Caenorhabditis elegans: one gene and its partners. The protein of the gene in region 3 purifies or fractionates together with the protein of the main gene of each other region. This does not show direct contact. Each region holds a gene or a part of one and is shown on either strand. Other genes may lie near its edges.

Region 1 (6,752 bases), on a different chromosome or scaffold from region 3:
GCAACAGAGCACTGTGCTCCGAGAGCTTGACACTGTTGCCGGCGGGCTCATGAGGTACGAGCCGAAACCTGCACCACGATGCGGACGCTGCTTATTTTGGCTGAAATTAAAGAAAATAACCGGTTTAAAGCACATTCTCGAGCACAAATCGCACCTAGCCAAGAGCTCGAGTTGGAGTTTAGCGAATTCCATCGGAGAAATCTGTGATGCAAGATGCATAAGCAGGTTTTGTGCAGAAGCTTCGTGGAATCCGGCCTGAAAATTAAATTTTTTAAAAATTTTATTCTCCTTTTCTTTCGCTTTTTTTTTACCTTTTCACCAAACAGAGAGTGCTCATACCCATTCGTTTGCTGGTAAAAATGTTGTGGGCAGTCTGTGCGACGCTGGAACGATCTGAACTCGTCGTCGTGATGTCTGAAAATTCGAAAATTTCAATTTATTGGCTCAAAAAGAAGCTGTAACTTACAACAGAGAATTCTCCCGCTGGTAACCACGAGTCCATTTTTCATTGTGACCACTGGGAAACATTGGTTTTAAGCTCTGAAAAATGGGAAAATTTCGAAAAATTGACTTTTCTTCGTGGGAGGTCTGAAGAAAACGCGTTTTCTGTGAAGATTCAATACGGCAGAGATAAAAATTTCAATTGAAATTGATTTAATAACACTTAATTTAAAAAGAGAGTTTAACTTTTTCGCAAATTATAATTCATATAAGAAGGAAAGAAAATTGGTGGAAATGAGACCGCCCATGAAGAAAAATCATTTTCTTGTCGAAAAATTAACAATTTCATATTTTAGAGTTGGAATTTTAATTTCAAAATTATTTTAATAAATAATTAATCAATATTTACACAAATGTAAAAAATAACACGAAAAATTTAAAAATCCGCTGATTGGCCTAAACTTCGGTGGCCCAAGACCACACACGAAGATAACTAATTTTCTCATTTTCCAGATGAAAAATTAAGAATTTTATATATTAAAATTGAAATTTCAATTTTAAAACTAATTTAATTTGAAAAAAAAATCAAATTATTCTCAAAAAATGCGAAAAAAATCGATGATTGGCCTAAAATATCGGTGGTCCAAGACCACCCACGAAGAAAAGTGACTACAGTAACCTGTACGTCAACACCATCACGTCAAAATGCACAGACCGCGAAATTTGAAAATAGTTTATCTGAATTTGCGAATATATTAATAAAATGACCATTTAAATTAAGTTTTATATAAGAAAAAGCGATAAATTATTTAAAAATTTTAGAAAAAAGTTTTTTTAACCTCCAATTTCTGAAAAAAATATCGAATTTAATAAAAATAAAACATTTATTGACGAGATCAAGAAGAAAAAAAGTTATTTTTAAAAAGCAGCCGATGGATCAAAAATTCCGTTGAATCGATTCGAAATTCTATTATTATATATGGCAGCCTGTGGTACTGGATCATATGCCACGTCGCGTTCCGTAAATACTCCTGTACACTCATTCGGGCACACGTCCTGTAAGAAAATCATGTCAAATAATGTTAAAATCACGTGGTGCCAGGCTGCCCTAACACGGTTTGATCTACAAAAAATGCGGGAATTTTTCGCCCAAATATATGTGACGTCAGCACGTTCTTAACCATGCGAAATCAGTTGAGAACTCTGCGTCTCTGTTCCCGCATTTTTCGTAGATCTAAGTAGATCAAGCCGAAATGAGACACTCTGACACCACGTGTGAAATGAAAATTTTAATACCGTCAATTGAATTTCCGGGCTGCCGAGGTTCGACACAGATGGTCCATTTAATGGCTGGGCGTTGAAGAACTGAAAACTTGCGCGTAAAGTATGGTGCATTGAGAGGGGCGGAGTTAATACATCGGATTTCACACGCAAGTTTTTTTGGCGGGAAAATCGAATTTTTCAGAGTTTCCGTTACGGATTTCTGGCTTCCCTCATAAATTGAAATGGAAGAGTTTGCCGAACTAGGCCATTTTGGCTCGGCCATATCTGGGGTAGATTTACGGCGCGTTGCGTGTCGCGTCGCGGCTCGGTTTTAGTTGTAAAACTAAATGTATTTGTCCGTGTGGAGTACACGGCTTTCCCACGCGTTGTCCGGCAGGATTGTCAATGGAGGGCGAAAAATTCAATGAGGAAGGCCAGAACCCCGTGTTTCCGAAATTTTTTAAAAATCAAAATCGTCATTTTTGTGGGTTTTTTTTCTATTTTTCTCCACGTGGATTACACAGAACACTTGTCAGTAGAGCACTCTTGCATTTCTGGTATACCCGAGAGTTCCTGGATAGCAAAGCCATAGGTTTATTTTTATTTTTCCAAGCAAAAACAGAATCCCAAATTATTATAAAAATGGAGTGAGCAAAAGAGAGAAAGAAGTTAGTTAAAGATCTTGCGGGTACACTTGTTGGCACAAATTTCCACAGTGTGTGGAGCAGCATTGTGATATCCAATTGATCCGTCTTCGATGGATCCTTCGGTGACGAACTGTAACAGGGTGTTATGAGGAGGTAGGTGGACAGGTTACGGTAGAAGTGGGGGGGGGGGGGGGGAAGTGATATTTTTTGTCAACTTACATTCCATGTTGTGCATGTGGAGAGGGAGCCAACTGGGCGAGCAAATCGAGCCACGAGGGTGTTGCCTGAAACATAATTTGATAATAAATTTGCGCGTGAAATATGGTGTTTTGGAGTGAAGAGACAGCTATGACCTGATACATCAGAATTTACGCGCAAATTCAAATATTGAAGTTTTGCGCGTGAAATTTGATGCATTGTAGCCGGTGTTTGTACATTTTGGCGATAACGATTCAATACATCAGATTCTACGCGCAAATTTAAATTGGCGGATGAAATTAAAAAAAAATTGCGCGTTAAATTTGATGTATTGCCGCCGACAGTTTTAAATTAAAGGTATTACTGGAACACTAAATTTCGAAAATGCGTATTGCGTAACATATTTGACGCGCAAAATATCTCGTAGCGAAAACTACAGTAATTGTTTATCCGACTACTGTAGCGCTTTTGTCGATTTACGGGAACTCGATTTTTGAATGGATCGATCGATAGAATTTTAAAATTAAGCATAAAAATGACAAAAAAAAATCGAGATCCTGTAAATCGACAAAAGCGCTACAGTAGTCAGATAAACAATTACTGTAGTTTTCGCTGCGAGATATTTTGCGCGTCAAATAAGTTGCACAGTACGCATTCTCGACAGTAAGTGTCCCCGTAATAATCTTGGTCAGAACAAGACAAGGCATGGCCTAGAAAAAGACACCTTGGCCTAGTTTTTGATTTTCTAGGCCACGGCGTACTAAACTCACTGTTATAATCGAGAGATTGAAGAGTGACAGATGGAGAAGCATCGAGTGCAGGTGCTCCGTATCCCTGAGTCGTTCCAGTCACAAGGCTTGGCTTAAAGTCTACCACTTGGAAAATGACAACGATTAGATCGCTCTGCAAATTGGAGTTTGTAGTTTTTGTAGTTTGTAGGGGAAAGTAATATTACATACCATATCAGGTCCAAATCCAACTGCTGACCATTCATTGTTTCCAACGTTTTTTGTGGTAACTTCGACAGTTAATTCTCCATCCACAACCTGAAAACATTATATCTTACGCGCAATTTTTTTTTCAAGGAATCACTGCACAAGACACAGGGCCTGCAAACTATTTAGTATTGATATCAGAAACCAGATTTGTTCAGAGAAAAAAAAACCCTAATATTTTTGCGCAGTTTTCACTTTGGCCTGATAAAATCTGATAAAATGACCTTGAGTGTGGCCGAGAAAAAAAAAAGACTCGGCCACCGTATTTTTTGGGGGGTAGGGTAAAGCTGCCTACTTCATGCCTACCTACCAGTTATTTTCTGCCATTTTAAGGAAAAAAAAATTTTTGGCTTAAAATTTCCAGTCGAAATTTTTTTCTAAGTTTTAGTTTTTTCTGAAATTTCACAATTTCAACATTTCAAAAAATGTTTCTTGTAGCCTTTCAGATTTTTTGCAGAAAAAATCAAAAATTACCTCCAAAGTGTTAGGATGGTCATTGTTTTAGGCGAAAAAATTGACTGAAAAGTTTTGAAATTTTTCAAAAAAAAGTATTTTTTAAAATTTTTTCAGATAAAATGAAAATTGTTTCAATGTCATTGAAACATCACAATAACGATATTATTCTCAAAAAGCACATTTTAAGGTATATTTTATTTTTAATTAATTCTTTTAAAAAAACATTTTCAGTTTTTCTAACGTTTCCCTAAAGTTTCATGCCTTTTTCTTTTTTCTAGTTTTTCAATAAATATATTAAGGGAACACTAAAATTCTTAGAATGCGTATTGCACAACATATTTGACGCGCAAAATATCAAAACTACAGTAATTCTTTAAATGACTACTGTAGGTCGATTTACAGGCTCGATTTTCGAAATGATTTTTTTTTTTCGAAAAGTTACATCATTTCAATAATTTACATTTTTCAATAAATTAAAAAATTGAGCCCGTAAATCGACACAAGCGCTACAGTAGCCACTTAAAGGATTACTGTAGTTTTGATATTTTTCGCGTGAAATATGTTGCGCAGTACGCATTCTCAGAATTTTGTGTACCCATAATAGTTGTTCAAAACGATTGGCACCAAGAATCAGTTTAAACAAACCACTTGAGTTGTGCTCAAACAAAATGACTCACCTGCCACCGAGCACTAATATCTCCACTTTTAGCTGTGCATTTAGCTGATTGTGCTCCAAGAATAGCTAGAGAAACACAAAGTGTACCCAACAAGAAGCCGAACATTCTCTGAAATTGGGGAAATATGTTTAAGAAATGAGGAGAGGTGATGGGTTTTGGACTGGTTGGCAGGGATTGTTGGCAAATAATGGAAGGAAAAGTAAGAAAACAAATAGAAGAAGATTGAAGAGAGAGAGAAAAAAGGAAAAAGAAAGAAAATATTGTAAATGAGGAAGCAATTGAAGACATAAGTCGTCTATTAATGACGAATGATAAACCAGATTCGACCCCAAACGACCCGAGTTTTTGTTTCGAGAATTATAGTGTTAGAATATGAGAGAAAGAGAGAAAGAGAGAGTGAATTGTAATATAGATGAAGAGATGAAGACGTTTATCAAGAAACTGAAGGAAAAAAGTTGACTTGGGATTATTATAGTAGTCCCGAAAAAAACTAACAACGAAAAACCGGGAAAAATTGATGGAGAAAAATTGGCAAATTTCCGGAATTAAAATTTGTTTTATTTTTATTTTTGGCAAACTGTCGATTTGCCGAAAAACGGCAAATCGGAAAATTGCCGGAAAAGCGGCAAATTTCCGGATTCGAAAATTCCGGCCAATCGGTGAATCAACATTTTCGGCAAATTCACAGCAAATCGGAAAATTGCCGGAATTGAAATTTCCGGTAAATCGTCGTTTCCGGAATTTCCTGCAAATTGGGAATTTGACAAATTTCTGGCAAATCGCCGGAATTGAAATTTTTGGCAAATCGGCAATTCGGCAAGTTGCCGGAATTGAAATTTCCGGTAAATTGTCGTTTCCCAAATTTCTGGCAAATCAGCAAATTGCCAGAATTGAAAATTCCGGCAAATCGGCAAATCGCCGGAATTACAATTTCCGGTAAATCGGCATTTCCGGCAAATTGGCAAATCGGCATTTCTGGCAAATTTCCGGCAAATCGGCATTTCCGGCAAATTGGCAAATTGCCAGAATCGAAATTTCCGGCAAATCGGCAATTCCGCAAATTGCTGGAACTGATTTTTTTTATTTTTGACAAACTGCTGATTTGCCGAATTTGCCGAAAAAACAGCAAATCGGAATAATTCGAAAAAAATGTTTTAAAAATTAACAGAACATTTTACAATTTTCTAATTCTAAAAAGGAATTTTGAAAAGGAAAAAAATTTTTTTTTTCTCGGAATATATTGGAAAATCGAAAAAATTTAGGTTTTCTATTTTAAATTCGAGCGCAAACCAAGGCTGCGCCGACCAATCAGCACATTTTGTCATTCGCTGATTGGTCAGCGCTTTCCTCATTTGCGCGCGCACGTGGTGCCAGAGTGTCTCATTTCGGTTTGATCTACATAGATCTACAAAATATGTGGGAGAAGAGACGCAGAGTTCTCAACTGATTTCGCATGGTTAAGAATGTGCTAACGTCACTTTTTTCCGGGCAAAAAATTCCCGCATTTTTTGTAGATCAAGCCTTTATGGGACAGCCTGGCACCACGTGTACTAAATGAAATTTTTTGAGAAATAAACCGCTTAAAATAACCAGGAAAACGACCTACTTCTCCATTTTTCTCTGGCTTACAGAGATCACGACCAAAATTCGTTTAGAAAGAATAAAGAACAGTTTTGGGGATGAACAGGTCGCCGTAGCAGTGATCTTATCATATTGTGGGTGAAAAAAAATGATTAAGTGACGTTTCAGGGTCATTGGCAGAAGGAAGAATTGGAAAAAAATAGGTTGATCAAAAGATGACGCTGACTTTGGCGAAGTTCCTTTAGTCATTTTTTGCCGATTTGCCGGATATTTTATTTCGGGCTAATTGCCGATAAGAAAAAAAAAATTATTTTAAAGTTGGGATCGAGATATTTATAGTAAATCGTTGAGACATATTTAGTTCATCAGGGGTAAACAGAAAGAAATTGTTGATTTTAGGGGTGTTTCAATGAAGAGCAATGGAGCATTGAAACAACTAATGACTCACTTTTGTACAATTTATAAATTGGTGTCAGGATGTCCCATCACGGGTG
Region 2 (5,832 bases), on a different chromosome or scaffold from region 3:
GTCGAGACCGGCTACCGTATTTTTGGTGCGAAATTTCGCGTCTGGATAATAAGAGAAACACTAATTTTCTTTGATTTTGTGAAAATTAGAAAAGAAAAACATTTTTTTCCGGTTTTTGGCTTTAAGCAAACACTTAAAACGGAACTTCTCGTTTTTTTTTTGGAAAAAAAAATTAAAAATCGGAGAGGAACTTCAAACCAATCAGCGCCTGGCTCCGCCCACCTTCGCTGATTGGTTTGGAATTTTTGGCCCTAAAAATGACACAATTTCGTATAAAATACAGTTTCTTTTTTTTCAGAAAATGTTCGCTGAACTCGAGAACCAACAAAATCTAGACCACCTGTACGGAAAAATGTTCGACGATCCAAATAAAGCCGATTGGATAATGATTGATGTCAAAAAGTTCACTGAAAACCACCTTCGCATGCAATATTTCCGTAAAATACGCGAAGAGCTACACAAAAGATTCACCAATCAGCATATCATTCGTGCCGTTTTTTGCTTTTTCCAATTTTTTGAGTATTATGTGACAGTTTGTGTTGATGTGAGTTTATTCCGAGAAATTGAAAACTTCTCGATTTACCTGAATTTTTTACTTGAATCGCCGCGCTTTTGTCTCTAAACTCCGCCCATAAAACCGTGCCGCACTGTTTTTTTTTCTAATTTTCAATTAAGAATACGGTCAGCAATGTTAAACAATTATTGAAAATTAGAAAAAAAAAACAGGAATCTGTGTCGAAATTGAAAAAACCAGAGTGCGGCACGGTTTTTATAGGCGGAACTTAGAGACAAAAGCGCGAGAATTCAAATTAGGCGTAAAAAATCCGAATTTTTTCGTTTTTTTTTCTTTTTTGGCATTTGGGACTAGTTTTTGAGTATTTTAAATTAAAATCCTTTCAAAAAATTAAAATTAAATTTCCAGGAGTCCACCGACAACTACATTCTGCTAATGAACAAAGTTTTGGAAATGTCCATCAAATTGTTGCCACTTTATATTGTTCATTGTTGATCATGCTCGCCCCTCCAATGTTAAGAATTATTTATTGAAATCATCCCGTTTTATTTACAATAAAATTATGCGATAGCTCGTTGTTTCGGTACGAAATTATCATAGTACATCGTTATGGCCTCCATCATCAGGTTCTCGGTGCAACGGGGTTCAGTGCCGACCACTTGAGCTGAAAAAGAGTTGATTTTGTTTTGGAAAAATTCCGGCAATTTTTGGAAAATTGCCGAATTCGCCGGAAATTTCATTTTCTTTTCGCGGCTCAAAAATTTCTTGGAGAATGGAAGAACTGCCGGTGTAGTCCTCGAGGAGGTTTTTTTTTTCAAAATTTTAAAAATCAGTTTTCAGCAAAAATGATCGATTTTGGAAAAAAAATTTTTTTTTTGAAAATCGAGAAATTTAAAGAACATTTATTTCCAAAAAAAATTAAGAAACTACCGGAGATTATTGAAAATTTTAATTTTTTCTAAAAATTAAAAAAAAAACTTTAAATTTTCGATTAGTACGATTTTTCGGAAATTTTTTTCAAATTTTTGAGAAATTCTTTCTGATAAATCTGCATTTTTTTCTGAAAGTTTTATTTTCTAGAAAATCCAAAAAAAAATTTCAGATTTTTTGGTAAAAAATTCAAATTTTCGATAATATCCGGCCATTTTTTTTCAAAGAAATGTGTTTTTTTAAAATAAAAATTGAATCTTCATTAAATTTTTTCTAATTTTCCTTTTTTAAACTGAAAAGCCTAAAATGGTCCAAAAATGAAAAAAATCGAGTCAAAAACTGAAAATTTACTGTAGAATAAAATTAAAACTTCTCCTCGGGGAGTACACAGCGATTCTACCATTTTTTGAAAATTAGGGAGCTCAGAAAAATAAGAAAAATAAGAAAAATCGATAATTTTCGATTTTTCGCCAAAATTCCAATTTTTCAATAATTTCAGTTTTTTTAAAAATGTTTTTTGAAAGAAATTTCTCAATTTTTCCAGTTTTTTCGATTTTTCCTACTTAAAAAGTTCGAAAAATTAGGAATTTTCGATTTTCCGTCAAAATTCCAATTTTTCAATCATCACAGGCAATTTTTGTGCTTTTAAAAACGTTTTTTTTCCAGTTTTTCGATTTTCCGGCTCTCAAAAAAATTAGGAAAATTTCAAATTTTCGCTTTTTCGACGGCATACTGACCAGGATTCCCGCCGATCGTTGAGTACGGTGGAAAAAGTGCGTCCGCTGGAACTACAGTATCCGGAAGAACCCTCGAACATTCTCGAATCACACAACCATTTCCGAGCACCGCACGAGCTCCAAGATGTACAAATGCGTAGATTTGAGCGGCATTGACGACACATTCTTCTTCAATAAATACATAATCACCAATCATAACGTTGCACATTGTTGGTTTTTTGCTGAATATTTTCATGCATGGACGGATGTTACATCGAGACTTTAGAACACAATATTTTCCAATTTTAACTGTCGCCAGATCACCGCGAATTGTCACTCCTTCCTCGATTATTGTCTGCAAAATTTCACTTTTTTTGATGTTTCAAATCAGGGGTGGGCGGCTATTTATTTTTGGCAGATTGCCGGTGTACCAAAATTGCCGGTTTGCCGAATTTGCCGGAAATTTTAGATTTTGGCAACTTGACAGTTTACCGAATTTGCCAAAAATTAGAATTTTTGGGAAATTGCCGGTTTGCCGGAAATTTTAAATTTTTACAAATTGCCGGTTTGTCGTTTGCCGAAAATTTCAATTTTTGACAAATTGCTTATTTGCCGGAAAATTTCAATTTTTCGAAAATTGCCGGTTTGCCGAATACTTTCATTTTTGGAAAATTGCCGATTTGCCGAAAATTGTAATTTTTGTCAAATTGCCTATTTGCCGGAATTTTTAAATTCCGGCAAATTGCCGGTTTGTCAAGTTTGCCGGAAATTTTCATTTTCGGAAAATTGCCGGTCTGTCGGAAATTTTAATTTTTGGAAAATTGCCGGAAATTTTTTTTTCTCGCAAATTTACGGAAATTTTAATTTTTGGCAAATTGCCAGTGTGCCGGAAGTTTGAATATTTGGCATATTTGCCGGTTTGCCGAATATTCCTAAAATGCTCAATTCCGGCCCACTTGCCGATTTGCCGGAAATTTTCATTTTCGGAAAATTACTGATTTGCCGGAATTTTCATCTTCAGCCGGTTTACCGAATTTTCAAGAAATTTTAATTTTCGCCAAACTGTTGGTAATTTTAAGTTTTGGTAAATTGCCAATTTGCCGATTTGCCGAAAATTTAAATTTTTTCCAAATTGCCGGTTTGGCAAATATGCCAGAAATTTTAAATTCCGGCAAATTGCCGAATTTGCCAAAAAATTTGTATAGCTTATTCCAAAAATCTAGAAAAATTATATTGCGCTATTTTTTTAATTTCTTTTTTTTTTCAAAATACTTGGAAAACACTGAATTTTTTCTAAAAATTTCCAAAAATTCTCACTTTTCCAGCAATTAAAATATTCTGTGTTCCAGCAATTGCATGCTTCTTATTCACTTTATTTCCCGTATGCGTCTTCGCCCATTCCGTCTCATCGTAGTAGACAATTGGAAGATCCATCTGAAAATCAGCGTCTGAAATTTTTCTAGTTTTTTTTTAAATTCAAAAATATCACAAAAGAGTTCTACTTTTTCAAATCGAGCGGAATTTTTCTCCAAAAAGACTACAAAAATAAGGGAATTTATATATAACGGGGGAATAAATTAAAGCAATAGTCATGCAAAAAAACACAATTTAAGAAAAAAAATTGGGGGCGCAGGAATCAAATTTCTTCGAGAATTTTTTCGTTCAAAAGGTTTTAAAAAATTGGTAATTTTTGGAAATAAAAATAATAAGTACATACACGAATCGCCCAGAATAAGATGAAAAAAAGTGAAATGTGTGTTCAAAAATTTCGGGAATTAGAGAGAAAAAAACGTGGAGAAGGGATTAAAATTGGAGAAAATATATAGGGAAAAAATACAAAAAAATGGAGAAAAAAAATTAAGTAAGAGCTCCGAAAACTGGATTGTAACGACAAATCGATGGTCCTCTCTCCATGTATTCGGCCTTTGTGTGTGAAACTTGGTAGAATTCCGACTGAAAATTTGGAATTGATAGTTTTTTTGGTGATTTTTTCACTAAATTTTGGGGGAATTTAATTGATTCTAAATTAAAATTTAAAAAAGTTTCCAAAAAAAATTTCATTTTTCAATTTTTTCCGACTGAAATCTTGGCTATTTTTGTGTTTCAAAAAGTTTCGAAAAATTGCCAAAAAAAAATTAAAAATATAATTTCCGAATAAAATTTTTTTTCAATTTTTTCTCAAAAACTTAAAATTGACTTTTTTGGGAATTTCAAAAAAAAAAATCAAATATTAGATTTTTTTTTGGAAAAAATCGGAAACATTTGTTTTTTTTCGAATTCTACCGATTTTTTTAAAATTTAATTTAAATTCGAAATCTACAGTTTTTTTTCACTAAATTTCGGGAGAATTTAATTTATTCTGAATAAAAATTTTTTAAAAAGTTTCCAAAAAAAAAAACAATTTTCAATTTTTTGAGTTTCAAAAAGTTTTGCAAATTTGAAGAAAAACAAATTAAAAATATAATTTCCGGATAAAACTTAAAATTGACTTTTTTTTGGGAATTTCAAAGAAAAAAAAATCAAAAATTAGATTTTTTTTTTGGAAAAATTAGTTGGCTAGTAAAAATCGATTTTTTTTTGAATTTTCAAAACTTGTTCAGAAATAGTGCTTTATTTATTTCAAAAACCATAGTTTTTCAGTGAAATTTTTTTATTTCTTAAATTCGAAATCTAATTTTTTTTTTTTTGATTTTTTTCACTTTCAAATTTCGGGGGAATTTATGACTTTATTCTGAATAAAAATTCAAAAATTTCCAAAAAAAAAATAAAATTTTCAATTTTTTTCCGACTGAAAATTTGGATATTTTTGAGTTTTAAAAAGTTTTGAAAAATTGCCAAAAAATTAAAAATATAAATTTTTAAAAATTTGTTGAGGTAACTGGAATACAAATTTCAGAAATTTCATTCGAAGCTCTGAATAAAACTTTTTTTTTTAATTTTTCGAATAAAAATCCGAATTTTTGAAATTTTTCTCAAAAAAAATCAATTATTTTTGGGAATTTTACAGAAAAAATCGAAAATTAAATTTTTTTTGTTGGAAAAATTAGTTGGTTAGTAAAAAATAATAAAATCGATTTTTTTAAAAAATTTACGAAATTCAAAAAATATAGTTTTTTTTAGTGAAAAAGTTTAATTTTCATTCAAATTTTCGAATAAATTATTTTCAACGAAAGAATTGATATTTTTTGCAAAAAAAGTACCAAAATTTCGGTCAAAAATGCATTTTCTCGGAAAAAATAGCAATTTTTTGAGATTTTCAAAATTTATGCTCATTTTTTTTAAAAATTTATGCTCAATTTATTAATTTTTAATCAACTTTTCAAAGTTTACCGGAAAAAATGGTTTTTTTCATTAAAAACTGTTTTAAAGCATATTATTCCCATTTGATAAGGCTGTTTTTTGTGAAAAAAAAAGTTTTTTATTCAGAAAAATCGATTTTTACTCAACTTTTCCAGTATTTCTTCAATATTCTTTTTTTAGATATATTTTTTACAAATATTTCCAACTGACAAAAACTCACAGTGGATGCACTTTTCAAGGTTTTCCGGAAAAATGTGGTTTAAAAATTTTTTTTTTTCATTAAAAAAACGTTTTAAAACATATTATTCCGTTTTGAAAAAGCTTTTTTTGTGAAAAAAAAAAGTTTTTTATTCAGAAAAATCGATTTTTACT
Region 3 (7,369 bases):
CCGACAAACAGAGAATGGTGTACACTTCTTCTTCATTTCACGAGCTGCTTGAAGTTTACATTTGACAAGTTCTGTTGGACAGAGTACGGTAGCTGCAAAAACTGCGGCAAGAGATCCGGAGAATGCATTTTCCAATGGTGTCATTTGTCTGACATCTTCGAGTCCATTCAGTGTGGCAATTGTTTTTTGGCAGTAACCATAGGCAGTGAAGAGAACTGCATTTTCAGCAACATTTGCAGCTAGAGCTGGGAGAGTTCCTGGATGTTGAAAAATATGAATTTTAGAAATCAAGTTACATTTAATTTTTCAAGATTTTTTCGATTTCATCTCGACTTCCAAATCAAAACTACGTTATTTGAAATAAAACGTTCAAAAAAATTGCTGAGCTTTCTGGAAGCTTTTTAGAAATTGTATTTTATTTAAAAAGAATCTGAAACTTTTGCAAAAAAAGGTTTTTTTTGAAAACACGTTATATTGTTCTTCCCAGAAAGGGTGAGAATTTTTACTTCAAGAAGTACTCTTTTTTATAGTTGCATGGAACGTGTTCAGTACAAAGGATTGTTTTTCTTTTTTTAGATTCAGAAATCCAGACTAAGCTCAAAATTTTCGAAACAAAAATAACAAACCAGCGTAAAGTCCTCGAATTCCGTCCAATTTATAAGTATCCTTGAGACAAACAATCCAATTTGAATAGAGATTCGGGAATGTTTGTACTTTTACTTTAACTGTATCTAATGGTTGTCCAGCATACACGTTGGCAATTCCACCAGCTGTTCCAGCCAATAAATCGATAATTCCATCTTTAAAATGATTGGCTGAAGCATCACCCGTTGCAGTTGTAGGTTCACCGCTTTCATGCATATTTCTATCTATTTTATTTTCTGAAATAACAAAAATTGGAAGAAATGGTTTTGAAAATTTCCAGAAAATTTAGATCACGATCATTTTTTCTTGTTTGCTAAATAGCTGGTTTTGTTGGTTTTTCGGACCAAAAAACAAAAAATTTAACTTTTGAGTCGTGAGGAGGAAAACAAAACGACAATTTCTTTTGGTTTTGGGAAGTTAAATTTTTTGTGACTTTGTGATCACGATGAGCACAATAAAGGAGGATTTAAATTTCCTCTGTTTAGAAAATAAAACATTGAATCTGTATAAACTTCAAAATATATAACCATGAGGTTGAAAATAAAACCAAGAAGAAAAAAAAATAAATTTCAACGAAAAAAAAGTGAAGAAATTGTATTTATTGCAACTTGCAATGGTGACGGGGATCGGGAGTGAAATATATTGATATAACAGAGAAAGCTGATTGATATTATTGAACTGGGAATTGAAAGGTGGAAGGGAGAGAAAATTGTTAATAAATACGTCAAAAATCAAATAAAACTCGGATAAAAGGAAGAATGAAAAAGAGAAAAGAGAAAAAAGGCCAGAGATCCACAGAGACAAAAAAATCTTAAAAACGGGATGGGAAAGTTTGCATCACCTTTTGAAACAAAACAACGTCATCTGAGAATGACCACGTGACAAGTGATAATGTGATGTGATCTGACACCGTCGATCATCTTTAATCTTTTGTATGAACATTCTTTACACGGTATGAAATGAAATCAAAAGTTATAATTAGTGATGAGAATCACAACGATATTTTGGATAATGAAGAAATGCTACGAAAATGGGAAATATGGTTAATTCGAAATACAGAAAATTAAAGACTTTCTAGATGATTCGGGCTTACGACACCGACAAAATATAAGTTTTAATTATGCCCAATGAGAAGAAAATACATTTTACAGCTACTTTTCCGGAAACAAAACTATGAATTATGACACTTTTAATCTTCTAGAATCAAATAGTTGCGAGTAACTTCTTCGAAACAATCTCGTAAACCATTCGCTTTCTGTAGTATGGCATATTTTTCTGCGTGAAGCGAGGCGTCGTTCGTCGAGATGCCCATTCACCGAATTGGCATGAGAATACTCCACAGTCACTGCCATTTTGTTGACGAGGAATGTCCTAAACAAGATGATTATCGCGTGTTGAAGATCTTTTTGTGTGTGTAATTTCAGAAGTATTACTGGTTGTTTTAGAGAGCATAGATATCAAAAAAAGAGTGATTGAGCCAAACATCTGGACTTCTAAAAAAAAACTTTTTTTCAGAAATAAATTTAAAGTAAAAATCCTTTTTTTTATTTAATTTTTTTAAAATTCAATATACCGTCATCTGTTGAATTGTCCATCCAGAAAAGTTCATTGCTGTCTTTTTCTTATCCAATGATTCAGCTTCCAAGTAACCTCTGAAATATAAAATATTTATTGATATATTCTCTGTGAGTTTTTTAAATAAAAACCAAAAACACTCAAAAAACTAACCGCAATGCTGGCAAAACGGCTGTATTTCCATCATAAAGAGAGTCATAAAACTCAATCTTCTTTTCGCCCATATCGATAACAGCCATACACCAATGCATTCCAAGATGAACTGGCACCAAAACGATGTCGAATGCAAAGATATCGACTTTTCTTGTCCATCGTTTCACACTCGCGTATCCTTTTGAAACAATATTGGAATAAAAGAATGTGTTGAATGCATAGATCTTTGGATATTTCGAATCGCCATTGCTCCGATCACAAATCAATTGAAGATAGAAATTGATGATCTCATCATTCAGCCAATGCAATCCACTCAATGTTGCAAGATCTTTTTTACAGATCTGAATGCTGAATGCATCCACAAATTGTTCATTTGGATTCCCTCCGCTCCATGCTCTTTCTACAAGAGCATCAGCAGCATCAGGTAAAGCCATAAAATCATCAACTTTCTTCTTCTCCACCTTCGGACGAATAGCGATTCCTTGCAATTCAAGTCTCTTCCGAACATCTTCCAATCGATCACCTCTTGTTTGAGAGCGATGTCCTTCTCGTATCCGAGCCTCTTCTAGAAGTTTATCCTCCTTCTGCTTCGACAATTGATAAGAATTCTGATATCTCTGCGGTCCTCGATATGCGGAACCGATTCCAAGGCTATTAATTTGCGAGAGAATATCATTGAGTTTCCTGTATGAATCAGATTCCGACGAATTTGATCGGGCGTGTTGGCGGTAACTTAAATTTATATTATTGCTTGAATTGATGAAAAACTTAAATAAATACCTTGAAGAAGTGGACTCTTCGCTATCAATGATGATGGATGGTTCTCTTGATAAGAGTGAAGGGGTGTTGCTTCGGGATCCTCCCAATTCTGCGATTTTCTGAAGAAAAAAGATCAGAAAGTTTTAAATAACAGTAATATCCTGAACATACATTCTTCGCTCTGGCTAATATGTCAGTTGATGATGTTCTCTGCATTTTCTTCGGTTTTTTTTCAACAATTCCAGAAATCGCTTTAGCTTCGTATTGTCCACTTGCAACAACTCCTTGAAGAAGTCGATCGCGAGATGACAGGTGATTTTTTATCTGAAATAATTAAACCTTAAAAATAAATAATTATCTATAAAAACAGTGGACCGAAATTAATTCTAAATAACAAAATCGTCTAATGTATCCGTTCCAAAATCAATTTTAATGTTAAAAAATTGAATCTTGTAGGTTTTGCGGACCATTTGGGAAGAAAAATCTTCCAAAATGGTTTTTAAAAAAACCTATAAAGTTTAATAATAAGAAGTTTTTGGCATTTAGAATTAATTTCTGAAGCTTCAGTTTGATACACTGAAAATTGTAATTTCTCACATTAGTTTCTCTGCTTCATAAAGAAATAATTACCTTCTTTAAATCAATAATCGTGTTCATTTTCCGAACAGAAGTTGAGTGCTTAAATTGATGTCTAACAGGGACCCGTCTCAAAACCTCTGGCTTTTTAGCAGAATTCCGTCTCCAATAATCACGAACATTATTTGATGTGTAATTTGATAATGATGATAAGCTCGGAGTAATCGGACGACTAACACTGTCATCGGGTGTCGGTGAGATAAATTCTTTGCTCCTAGAGTCAGAAATAACTGATACATCGTCTGGTGTGTCTGGATTGTCGTTGAGAAAGATCAACTAAAGTTTGATAATTTATTATAATAGAATTATTCGAATACTAATACCTCATTCTGAAATCGTCTTGCTTCTTGCAATTGCTTATTTGGTGTCTTGACTACTTTCTCGAAAAGAACGTCTGGTTCCTCATCATCCTGTTGTACTTCAAATGACTTTTCCAAATTTTTTGGCGACTTTGGGGAAGATGATAAGGTGAGCACTAAATCTCCTTGAACTTCTTGTTTTTCTTCGTCATTCCGAATTTCAACGTTTTTTTGAACATGTTTCTCAATGATAACTTCATTTTCCTCTGATCCAGCATTGGCTCTCACAGGTGCATCTTCGTTCAGAAAAATCATATATTTCTTGTTCTGTAACAACTGTGGTCATGTTTAGTTAGGGGGGGGGGGGGGGGGGTTTATATACCGTATATTCTCTATTAGTGCTGCATCTCCAGTAGTACTGCAGTCTCTAATAGTGCTGCATTCAAAAAGGGTCCGAAAAATAGTGCTGCAGTCTCTATTAGTGCTGCACCCCATTTTCTATTGAAAGAGTCACTTGACAGTTTCGATATTTTTGGGTATTTTTTTGTATATTTTATGATTTTTTGATAATTTAGGAAAGTAATTGAATTATTGGGTCTTTTTTTTACAAAAGTTCGCAATTTTTATGAATTTCTGCTTAAAATATGAGGTTTTGTGATTAAAAACTAGTGATCTATAATTGAAAATAGCCGTTCGAAAATTAATGCTGCAGTCTCCAGTAGTACTGCAGTCTCTAATAGTGCTGCATTAAAAAAGGGCCTGGAAATTAGTGCTGCATGCAGCACTAATAGAGAATATACGGTATTTGCTGAACTTAACTCCGAAAGTTAATTTATTCTCAAAATATACCTCAGCAACTCTCCTCGTCGTTCCTTCCACTATAATTTCATCATCCTCTTGAACTTGAACTTCGCCCGAAACTTCAGTTTTCTCCTTTTCTCCCGAATTACTGCTTACGAACATTCCGAAGAAGGTATTGAAAAGCCCTGAAATGTTGAAGATCGCTATTTCAAATTTATACTTTTATGGATCAAGGAAAAGGATTCACTCACCACCCAATCCTTGAGATTTCGTTTTTCTGGTTCTTTTTGTTGGCGACTGCTCTTTTTCTTCGTTTGTAACAGCTTGATCGGTTAACCAATGTCGTTTTCTTGCTAAATATTTTAATTAATTTCAGCTTATTTTTCATTCACTTCTCCTACATTGAGAGTCTTTGTCTGATAAATCAGACCTACGTGACATTCCGTTTCTCTTTCAATCGAATATCGTCTATTTTTGATGTTCCAGATTCAAGTAGCTATCCTGAAATATAGTTTTTAGCTGCTTTAAAAGATTTTTGCTATAGTAAATACTATCACAAAGGGCAACATTTTAAGTTTTTCAGCCAAAATAAAGAAGGCAATTAACCTCTAGGCAGTACGTAATCATTCAATTATTGCATAAATTACTTTTAATAAAAGAATAGATGAATGGGATAGAAGCGGAGGAGATTGGCTGCAGATCATTTTTGAATGAAATGAATAAAATTTGGGGAATCTGGAGAAAAGTTGAACTGTTAAAAAGATAAATGTGAACAAAATAAAATCCAATAGATAAAAATAGAAAGAGATCTCACCACAGGAAGACAGCCAATCAACTCTTTTTTTTTTGTTGATTCACAGTGAAAAGGAGAATTTTTGGAATCGATAATATATGGTAACGAGAGATGGAGAAAGAATAATAGTTTGTCAGCTTTTCTATAGATGGGAATATTTTCAACTTGACTGAACAATCCGGAATACAAAAAAAACAAGGAAACGAAACGGGAAAAATGTGGTGAAATTTTGAATAACTTAGTAATAAATGGTAATAAAAACAATTAGAAAGAGAATACTCGGAGACTCTTATCCAATGAACACGTCACCAATGAACGAGCATTTTCTCCGAATCTAACTCCAGTGACTGGTCCAGAATGATCAGAAAGTGATACAACTTCACTCCAGCTCTTCACATGCAAAACTTGAACTTTTTGGCCACCAATTCCTAGGAATGTTCCAGTCATGTCGAAGGACAGGGAGTTGATCTGAAAAAATTATATTTTTTCATTAAACATTTGCTTAACAATTTCTTACCGGTTGTTTCTCTTCGTTAGCGAAAGTTTTCAGATTCTTCAATTTTCTAAGATCCCATAATTTGACCTCTCCATCCTCTGATCCCGTAGCCAAATAATATCCGTTTTCAGAAAACGCAATCGAACGAACGGCAGCAGTATGTCCCGGGAATGCAGCAGCCACGGTTTGATTCTTCAAATCCCAAATCTTCACAACGGCATCCGCAGCTCCAGTTCCAAAAATAAGACCATCAGGATGGAACTCGATGGAATGAACGGCAATTTGTGATCCTGGTTCAACTGAAACCTTGCAAAGCGATTTTCCGGAACGAATGTCGGAGAATGCCCAGTAAGAATCATCAGAAGCGGAGAGAATGTAATCACCGGATGCATTGAGGGAGATATCTGTAAAACATTGTTTGTTCAATAGAAGAATTACAGCTAGCGAATTTTTTTCAAATATCTCACCTGTAACGGGTGCCTGATGGACATCAATAATAGCCTTCGAAGACGAATCAGTTGCACTCCAGACTCTAATATGTGAATCAGCAGAAGCAGAGATTGCAGTAATATTATCCGGATGCAAAACAACTGCGTTGATCTTCTTGTTATGCCCCTTGAATGTTTGCATAACCTGTTCCTTTTCATAGTCATACAAGACAACGGTTTTATCAATTCCTCCGGTAAGTGACAAATTTCCCTTGATATCCAATGCAGTAATTCCAGGAGTTCCAGTCGAATGAATTCCAGTGTGAGATGCTGTCTGTTTCAGCTCGGCGAGCTCTTCTGTTTTGGCAAGTCCTTCAGGAAGATTTTTTCCTCGTTGTTTACGTTCAGCAGTCAGACTCTTTGATTTCTCTTCAAGTTTTGCCAGAATTGCCTCACTAAGACCTTGTTGATCTTCAGACTCGTCAATGCTGACATCATCGTCAACTTTCGCCGATGTGTGTGGTTTCAAAGTAGACAATGCTTCTCTAGCAGCGGTCAATTCTTTGGAGAGGCGGGAAATAACACGACAAGCGGCATCGTGTTGGTACAGAGAGTGAGAAAGTTCTTGACGAGCAATTTGGAGTTGTTGTCGGAGAGAGAAGCTGTTGAGCATTACTGTATCCCACTCGTCTTGAAGCATTTTTAGTAGAGATGGGATGGATGTTCCAGAGACATTGCGTGGTGCTGATCCAGTGCCGCCACTTTTCAATGAAACGAGCTAAAA

What was found.
Region 1: the proteins of ulp-1 (region 3) and Y54E10A.17 fractionate together in Caenorhabditis elegans (co-fractionation; one large-scale study listed by BioGRID). This does not show direct contact.
Region 2: the proteins of ulp-1 (region 3) and dnc-5 fractionate together in Caenorhabditis elegans (co-fractionation; one large-scale study listed by BioGRID). This does not show direct contact.

The regions. Positions count from the first base shown.
Region 1 is NC_003279.8:3,204,834-3,211,585, reverse strand, and holds Y54E10A.17 (DOMON domain-containing protein), read right to left. Parts: upstream 4,825-6,752; 5' UTR 4,783-4,824; coding exon 4,678-4,782; intron 3,596-4,677; coding exon 3,509-3,595; intron 3,453-3,508; coding exon 3,320-3,452; intron 2,636-3,319; coding exon 2,571-2,635; intron 2,482-2,570; coding exon of another isoform or gene 2,374-2,481; exon of another isoform or gene 1,807-2,373; coding exon 1,738-1,806; intron 1,498-1,737; coding exon 1,360-1,497; 3' UTR 1,314-1,359; downstream 1-1,313. Other genes in the region: fog-1 (RRM domain-containing protein), read right to left, coding at 1-100, 155-255, 312-414, 467-528.
Region 2 is NC_003279.8:2,879,847-2,885,678, forward strand, and holds dnc-5 (Dynactin subunit 5), read right to left. Parts: upstream 3,609-5,832; 5' UTR 3,595-3,608; coding exon 3,478-3,594; intron 2,516-3,477; coding exon 2,182-2,515; intron 1,179-2,181; coding exon 1,075-1,178; 3' UTR 1,030-1,074; downstream 1-1,029. Other genes in the region: Y71F9AL.8 (Myb_DNA-bind_3 domain-containing protein), read left to right, coding at 299-544, 923-1,009; arx-1 (Actin-related protein 3), read right to left, coding at 4,018-4,113.
Region 3 is NC_003281.10:5,164,431-5,171,799, forward strand, and holds ulp-1 (Sentrin-specific protease), read right to left. Parts: upstream 5,370-7,369; 5' UTR 5,310-5,369; coding exon 5,270-5,309; intron 5,222-5,269; coding exon 5,120-5,221; intron 5,054-5,119; coding exon 4,917-5,053; intron 4,395-4,916; coding exon 4,092-4,394; intron 4,045-4,091; coding exon 3,763-4,044; intron 3,457-3,762; coding exon 3,304-3,456; intron 3,252-3,303; coding exon 3,154-3,251; intron 3,106-3,153; coding exon 2,374-3,105; intron 2,298-2,373; coding exon 2,219-2,297; intron 2,017-2,218; coding exon 1,849-2,016; 3' UTR 1,229-1,848; downstream 1-1,228. Other genes in the region: T10F2.2 (Mitochondrial ornithine transporter 1), read right to left, coding at 1-257, 627-861; prp-19 (Pre-mRNA-processing factor 19), read right to left, coding at 5,926-6,129, 6,179-6,561, 6,625-7,363. UniProt on the Caenorhabditis elegans protein: Protease that deconjugates smo-1 from targeted proteins and may catalyze the processing of smo-1 to its mature form.